Arabidopsis thaliana: one gene and its partner. The protein of the gene in region 1 interacts with the protein of each later gene in a pairwise test. Each region holds a gene or a part of one and is shown in the gene's direction. Other genes may lie near its edges. The genes, in order: CLE26 and AT5G16590.

Evidence for each region.
Region 2: the proteins of CLE26 (region 1) and AT5G16590 interact in a protein complementation assay, tested with the Arabidopsis thaliana proteins (one large-scale study listed by BioGRID).

What each region holds. Positions count from the first base shown.
Region 1 is NC_003070.9:26,352,275-26,355,897, reverse strand, and holds CLE26 (CLAVATA3/ESR-RELATED 26), read left to right. Parts: upstream 1-1,641; coding exon 1,642-1,998; 3' UTR 1,999-2,779; downstream 2,780-3,623.
Region 2 is NC_003076.8:5,429,524-5,434,778, forward strand, and holds AT5G16590 (Leucine-rich repeat protein kinase family protein), read left to right. Parts: upstream 1-2,060; 5' UTR 2,061-2,338; coding exon 2,339-3,623; intron 3,624-3,712; coding exon 3,713-4,030; intron 4,031-4,123; coding exon 4,124-4,398; 3' UTR 4,399-4,663; downstream 4,664-5,255. UniProt on the Arabidopsis thaliana protein: Might be involved in early recognition of growth promoting fungi. Appears to be specific for P.indica.

The sequences.
Region 1 (3,623 bases):
GTAATCAACAACTCTTGTAAATTCTTCGAGCAAATTTTCTCGTTGGGCAATGTTGAAGCCTGCATAAAAATAGAGACCCGAAGGATTCTTATAGACGGGAGTGGTCACCACGTTAGCAATGGAGATTGTTTACAAAGTTACCTTTTTTTTAGTATTTTAATCTCGTTAATGATAAAATGAATATGTAAGTGCCATTTTTTCAGTTACTTCGACTAGAAGCTAGTGAGTAACACACAAAGGCATAAGATTCTCAGGACAAATATACATTTAACTTTTTTAGGAAAGGTAATTTATTTTGAAGTGGGATTCATGTAAAATCTTAACAAATTTGATCGATGAGATGAATTATGCACTTATGCTTCATTGGCCCTATATTTATATAAACTATGGGATAAATTATGGCTGCTATGTGACAGTGATATAAAACATTATTCCTAAGGAACAATTTTTAATCATGGGTCTAGTCAATCTTGTCATTCTCATCTTTATTTCTGAAAACTTTAAAATGTGCAAATCTTAAGATACATAAAGAATGGCTAATGTTATTAACGCATAATTAATATGTTTTGTTAATGTACAAGATTGCTAATATCTCGACAGATCAACATATATTATTCGATGTTTTGCATAGGGGAGCTCTTATAATGATCTATTTTATTATAAATGGTACTAGACTACTAAATACATTAAAAAATAAAACGGTGAGGAATATAATAAGCTTGATCGGAACTAGGTAGATACTATATATTATGTATTGTGCCAAATTCGACATAAGGACATGCGTATACAATTAGTTATTATAGATATAGAAATTTGTGAGAATACGTGACGATAACTGTTTATGTTTATAAAATATGGTTATAAATTAGGTATGCATGGAATGGTTATGTGCTTAGCTTTACTTTTTGGATACGAAAGAGATGAATTGTACGTGAGAAAAGTACTAGAGGGAACCCTTTGTCACGTGTACTTCTAATAATCTAATATCATATGAGTACATTAATTTTAGTGATTAAGTAAATCTGCATGGAAATACACATTTGATATATATAAAGTGAAGGCTGGTAAATAAATTCCCTTCATGTCACGTTTCGGACCAGCTGTTCCATATTTCATTGTCTCTCTTTTCTCATATTTTTGGTCCTTAACAAAAAAACAAAAAGAGAATATTGCGTTTAATGTATATAATTATCCCTGCTATATATATTTATATTATTTGGGATATAATGAGGCGACATAAAAATACGGATTCATGCTTAAAGATAACACTAGTTATAAAATCTCACAGAAATATATAAAGATTCATAGCAGAAAATAATTTCTCTCTCTCTCTCTCTCTATCCTATAATGTTTCGAGTAAAGTTTGTAAAACATATTGAACAGAATAAAAACCATCGAACATATAAAGAACACCAACCATCCTAACTCAACAAAGTGATAAGACTCTCTTTCTTTCTCTCTCTCTCTCCATCTCCCTCTCTTTCTCTTGCTTTTGTTGTCACTCATCTTTGTTCTCTATTATAGTTTCCATTCAAGAAAATCGAATATAAACCCTACTACTTCGATCGATGTTCATATCTGTCTTTATTTCAACCAACCAACGAAGATAGGATAAAAACATATCCACAAAGGCTAGAAACCATGCGAAATAACCATTCCCTTCGTCTCCAATTGTGGTTCCGTACACTATTTACTGTTGGTGTAGTCACTCTTCTTATGATCGATGCGTTTGTATTACAAAACAACAAGGAGGACGACAAAACAAAAGAGATTACTACAGCTGTGAACATGAACAACTCCGATGCCAAGGAAATACAACAAGAGCTTGAAGATGGTTCAAGGAACGACGATCTTAGCTACGTAGCAAGCAAAAGAAAAGTGCCTCGTGGACCTGATCCTATACACAACAGGTTCTTACTACTTTCTCGTTTTATTTTATCACTTTTAACTAATCCTTACCCCTACCTGCATATATGTGTCTTGGATGTTTCTGTATGATATTTCATTAATATATAATAATATATGACATAAACCCGTGTGTGGTGCCACATTCATATTAGTTAGGTCTAAGTTCAAGGGCTATAAGCCTAAAATTCTCTACAACCCCATATTAGATTCCGTTATGTTCAAATTATACGCGTGGACCACTTGGTCACTTGCATTTCGACCATGGTGTTGTTTAACATGTGGTTTTTACCAAGGACATGCTCTTAGTATGGTCTAGATATAAATTCGATATTGAGATTAATGAATGACATCTAGAAATGACTATATTAGATGAAATCAAGCAAGCTAACTCGTTGATTGTCTATATGTTTATGCATGTTATAATAAGTTTTGTTTCGGGTCACCATAAATATACTTCTAGCACAATTTTACTAAAAAAACAAACACTTTGTTTCTTTTAACTAACTCAGATTCGGTGAGACATATCACAGAAGCTCGCAAAAGGCTGTCTGCTAGCTTTATTCAGTCTTTACGTTTAACAATCTATTTTTAATTATTCACTATAAGATGGCTTCTTTTAAAAACTTTCTTTTTTCCTTTATGGAAGCTTTAGCCCTTTGAACACTCCCTTTTTTTTCTTAGTTATATAGGTAACCCACTTATGATCACAGTTAATTCCATGTAGATCGTATTAAAGTAGTCTATTGACTAAATCACTAAAATATCAATTAATGAATTAATGTTGTATGATTTGTTATCGTTTATACGAAAGTAAAGAAAAACAAGAAAACATGACTTGGATTAAGTAACTCTATGTTCTGTCTTAATACAGGAGAGCAGGGAATTCAAGACGACCACCAGGAAGAGCATAAGTACGGTTAAAGCTTGGGTAAGAAGCAGAAAGAGAGAGAGAAGTATAATTGTTGGCAAATTAATATAGGTCTTGTATTGCTGCTAGATTCTCTTTTCCTTTCATTTGGGATCGAATCTTTTAAATATGCGCAAAATATTTGTGACCCTACAATTCTGTTTTTTTTTTTTTTAAATGTTTGTTTTGTTCCTATAGTGAAGAAATATTGAGCTAGTTAGGGGAGGTTTTAAAAAAATGAAGACACTGATTATTAAAAGGATTTCAAGAAAGAAAAGAAGTATACGTACATGCAATGCAATCCTGTTTTCTCACGCATTGCACGACTTATATTGGGATTATTTCTAATTTGATCCATCATCAAATAACGTTTAGATGCTTTATTTCCTTACTCACATTGTTTATTGGGTACTTGCACTAAATGATCATTAACATTTATTAAGTTAGGTAAATAATTGTGTACTCCTTTTATGTGCAAAAACACAAAATGGGTACTATTTTATTACTAACATGCTTTCTTATCAAATAGCAGTACCCTATGTTGTTCTAAATAACATGCTAATTCAATTCAGATTTGGCAGACAAAATAACATGGTATTTTAGAGAGAGCGCGCACAAGTGTGTTTTTTTAAAACAAATGAAAACATCATAATTACGTACCTGATTGACCCTTGTGTATATATTCACGATTAGAAATTGTAGATTACCAAAACACTCGCACAAAATGGTTCTATATATAGACAATATATGATTCTTATCACATGTTTTGAATGAAAAAAAAAGAATTAAGATGGATTTTTTTTTTGTA
Region 2 (5,255 bases), on another chromosome or scaffold:
TTAAATCTATTTTTCACCCGTTATAATATTTTTTCATGTATTGAACAATTTATATTCGTTTTTAAAAATTCTAATTATGGCATATGCGAAAAAATTCTAATTATTTTTTTATAATGATGATATTATTTTTTCGCAAAAATAGAATCATATAAAGATGAGAAGTGAATTATAATAATTAATAAAAAATTAATAAAAAATTAATACAATAATTTAGATATCAAATCTAATTTGTTGATTTTAATTGGTTACTTTTTTGGAAATTAATAATGTATTTCATTTTTCTAATTAAATCAAATTAATTAAAATTTAGATATCAAATCTTATATGTTGATTTTGATTGGTTATTATTTTTGAAAATTAATAATATATTTCGTTTTTAAATTAAATTTAATTAATTAAATTAGTATTTGACTTTTTAATCCTTAAAGAGATACATTAATTTACTCTTTAAAATTTTATTTCTAATGGCATACCTATGTAATTACTTACAAAAATTAAGATTATATTTAAAATGTATTTCCCAAATAATATAGTAGGACTAAAAAGCTTTGAATCTTATAATACTTTAACGAAAAAAAATTTGAACTAAACCAAATATCATAACTGTCTGTGAGCTATTATTGTATTCGCACCACCCAATTAGAATTTTGATAGGTACTACAATATTAAGTTTGTGATAACAGCCAATTATTACAATTGTTTGGTGGGTCATTATGTTCCCGTGACTCTGGGCTATTTTGTATATATGTCACTATTTTTGCCTTTCTTGTTGTAAAATTTCGAAAGCTCTTTATTTTCATTGGTGGGAGAGTCCTAATCTTCTTAATTTCTTATCATATAGTCCCAACTTGTATGTTTTGTAATTGTAATAACAAGTTGGACCGACGGGATATTGTGTAATATGATTGGTAATACGCAAACGCAAAGTAACATCACAGAACAATGCTCACACGGAAAATATGAATTCATAAAATTTTATCATTATATGAATGGAAAGTGGGAAAAAAGCATACATTACGAAATTGTTTTTTGCATGACATAAGAAGAACCATTTAAAAACTTGGTAACGTCAATTTATGCTAGTTAAGTACTATACTCTTTCGTCAAATAAAGAAAAATGCTAGTAGTAGTAGAGTAGACTGATATTGTTGTCCCATGAAATAAAAGGGGCTTCAAATATATAGTTTGATTTAAGAACCCATTCTTGTATAAGCCTATTTTATGGGCCGTAATCAATAATAATAATGGGCTTACTTTCTACAATGTACTCTTAACTGAATATCAATTATAGTTTGGGCCGAAATAAAAACGTTGGTCTCATCAAAATCCTAATTGTTTTACTTTAATATCATGTCTTCAGTACTAAAATACTAATGAGGTAATCTAATTTGTATATTTTCTTCCCAAAAATTTTCGATATGAGTTATTCCATTTTAATACAGAATATATTCTTACTTTTAGAGGAAGTAAAATTTTGAAACTACTCAAATCCTATTCTATATATGTACAAACACATTTTTTTTCTGCCGATGACTTAGATAGACACAAAGCTAAGAATTTCATATTGTAAAAAAAGTTAACACGTAAATATGTTCCACATATCCGAAAGGAATTTAAATTAGTAGTGGTTCAGTATTATTAAGTCAGACATTTTTAGGAGACGTTCAATAATATAACATACTTTCCCAAGAGTTGCATGTTTCCATCGTACATAATAAAACCATAACTAAACAATTTAAATTATTCATTAAAAATAAAAAAACGGATAGTATTTGTTTAATTTTCACATTAAAGTATCTTTTAATTAAGTATTTATTATTATCTTTTATCTACTTATGTAATGTTTATAACACTTCTTACAAATCTCTCCAGATTCCTTCATAAATGGAAACAAAAGCATTTAAATATGTAAATCATATGATTTGTTACTGAAAATGCTAAATTACACAATAATAAAAAGATGTAAGAATATACAGCAAACTCATTTCTTCTTGCTGTAAAAATAATCGCACGGAATATTTAAATAAATTAATAAAAGATTCTGTATCTCACTGTAAAAACTAAAAAGGTAAAAAATTGAACAATTAACTTTTTCTTTCCATTCACTGCAGTCTGCAATTAATAGCCTCTCTCTCTCTCCTCCTTCATCATCTCCCCATAGCCGTCGAGACAGATAGAGAGAGCTGAAATTTCTGTGAGAAGATTTTCTTCCGACATTTTCTCTTTCCAAACACTGTTCTACACGTAGTCGGAAATCTCGGAAAAACCAATCTCCGAGTCAGAGAGAGAGAGAGAGGCGTTCACTGTTGTAAAGGATTAAGCTTTGGGTAAGAAGAAGATGAAGAACAAGACCAATTTAGGTCTCTCAGTCTTCTTCTTCTTTATATGTCTCGTTTCCGTGACATCAGATCTAGAAGCTGATCGACGAGCTCTAATCGCACTTCGTGACGGTGTTCATGGGCGTCCATTGCTGTGGAATCTAACAGCACCACCGTGTACTTGGGGAGGAGTCCAATGTGAGTCGGGTCGTGTCACAGCACTCCGATTACCCGGTGTGGGTTTATCGGGTCCATTACCAATCGCCATCGGAAACCTTACAAAGCTCGAAACTTTATCATTCCGATTCAATGCTCTTAACGGTCCTCTCCCGCCGGATTTCGCAAACCTAACTCTTCTCCGTTACTTGTATCTTCAAGGAAACGCATTTTCCGGCGAGATTCCTTCGTTTCTCTTCACTCTACCAAACATTATTCGGATCAATCTCGCCCAGAATAATTTCTTGGGTCGGATCCCGGATAATGTCAATTCTGCAACCCGGTTAGCTACTCTTTACTTGCAGGATAATCAACTCACCGGTCCAATCCCGGAGATTAAGATTAAGCTTCAACAGTTTAATGTCTCATCCAATCAGTTAAACGGGTCGATTCCGGATCCGTTGTCGGGTATGCCCAAAACCGCCTTTTTAGGCAATTTGCTCTGTGGGAAGCCGTTAGATGCTTGCCCTGTCAATGGCACTGGAAACGGTACTGTGACGCCTGGAGGAAAAGGGAAAAGCGACAAGTTATCTGCCGGAGCTATTGTCGGAATAGTGATCGGCTGTTTCGTCTTGCTTCTCGTGCTTTTCTTGATCGTGTTCTGTCTCTGTAGAAAGAAGAAGAAAGAGCAAGTCGTCCAATCGAGAAGCATCGAAGCAGCTCCTGTTCCGACCTCATCAGCAGCCGTGGCTAAGGAATCGAATGGTCCTCCTGCGGTGGTGGCTAATGGTGCATCTGAAAATGGTGTATCAAAGAACCCTGCTGCAGTGAGTAAAGATCTGACATTTTTCGTGAAATCTTTCGGCGAGTTTGATCTTGATGGATTGCTGAAAGCTTCTGCGGAAGTACTTGGTAAAGGAACGTTCGGATCTTCGTACAAGGCCAGTTTCGATCACGGATTAGTGGTGGCTGTGAAACGATTGAGAGATGTCGTGGTTCCTGAGAAAGAGTTCAGAGAGAAATTGCAGGTTCTTGGATCCATAAGCCATGCCAATCTTGTGACATTGATTGCATATTACTTCAGCCGCGACGAAAAGCTCGTTGTTTTCGAATACATGTCTAGAGGAAGCTTGTCTGCGCTGTTACACGGTAACAAAATAAATAACTCTGTTTATTGTTTGATTCTTTAGTAGTGATTACAGATTTTTTAAAACCAATTTTTTGGAATGAATTCGTAGGGAACAAAGGAAGTGGCAGAAGTCCATTGAATTGGGAAACGAGAGCCAATATAGCATTAGGAGCCGCAAGAGCAATTAGCTACCTCCATTCGCGTGACGCGACAACATCTCATGGCAACATTAAATCATCTAACATTCTATTGTCAGAATCCTTTGAAGCTAAGGTCTCTGACTACTGTCTTGCACCTATGATCAGCCCTACTTCTACACCTAACCGCATTGATGGTTACCGAGCTCCTGAAGTAACCGATGCTCGTAAAATCTCCCAAAAGGCTGATGTTTACAGCTTCGGTGTTCTCATTCTTGAATTACTCACAGGTACAACAACACACACAAAAACAGAGAGATCTTGAAAACCGTATTTTTGGTCAAAATGTTGATTCATATATTGGTTTTTGTATTGATTTGCAGGGAAATCTCCAACGCATCAGCAGTTACACGAAGAAGGAGTAGATTTACCGAGATGGGTTTCATCGATCACTGAACAACAATCACCATCAGATGTGTTTGATCCAGAGCTCACAAGGTATCAATCGGACAGCAATGAGAACATGATCAGGCTTTTAAACATCGGTATAAGTTGTACGACTCAGTATCCAGATAGTCGTCCTACAATGCCTGAAGTCACAAGACTCATCGAGGAGGTTTCTCGTTCACCTGCTTCACCAGGTCCTTTGTCCGATTGATTGTATTTTTCTTTTTCAATATATGGGGTCTAAATTGATCATTTCAAAATTGTTTGGTCTAAATTTGAATTTCTTTATATAGTTTGGTCTTTAAGTCAGTTGAGAGATCTACGTTGAAGTTTTTTTTTTTTTTTTTGTGTTTCTTAATTTTTTTAGTGAAATTTTTTATATACAAATTGATTGAGTGTGAAACAAATTATATCTCTCCTTTTCTATTGGTCGGCCCATCAATTTGAATATAGTAACTTTAACTTTATTTCATGAAACTTATCCACTATTGACTCTTTCTTTCTAACGAACTAGCAAATAAAACGGCAGAAACAAAAAAGAAGGAGCCTGATTATTATATGTTGGTAAATTATAAAAAGTTGTCAAACAAATTTTGTTGATATATTGTGTCTGATTCTTCTCTCCGACCAATCATAAAATGCATGTCAACGACACATATTTTCTGTCTTTCCTCAATTTCAAGTTTTATTTGTATTAGTGACTAAGACTAAGTATCTAAATACTTATTACAAACTCCATGGAGTAAATATAATTTTAGGTAACGGGTCTATTTAAAGTTTCTAAGTTGAATCTGTCAAGTTAGTCCCCACCTTTCAAATTCAAATTCAGATAATTTGGTGAAGCCATCAAAACAAAAGTTTCTTCATTTTTCCTTTAATCGTTAAAGTAAATTTCAAGCGACTCTCTTTAAGAATAAAAAAAGAAAGAAAGATATACTATCTTTATAAATTGTATTGATCAAGACATATGCAGAGGGTTTCGGAAAATCATTTACGGACTTAATGTGTGAAAGAATTAGTTGAGTGCATCATTCATGTATAACTTAGAACATATCTATTTTGGTTCGG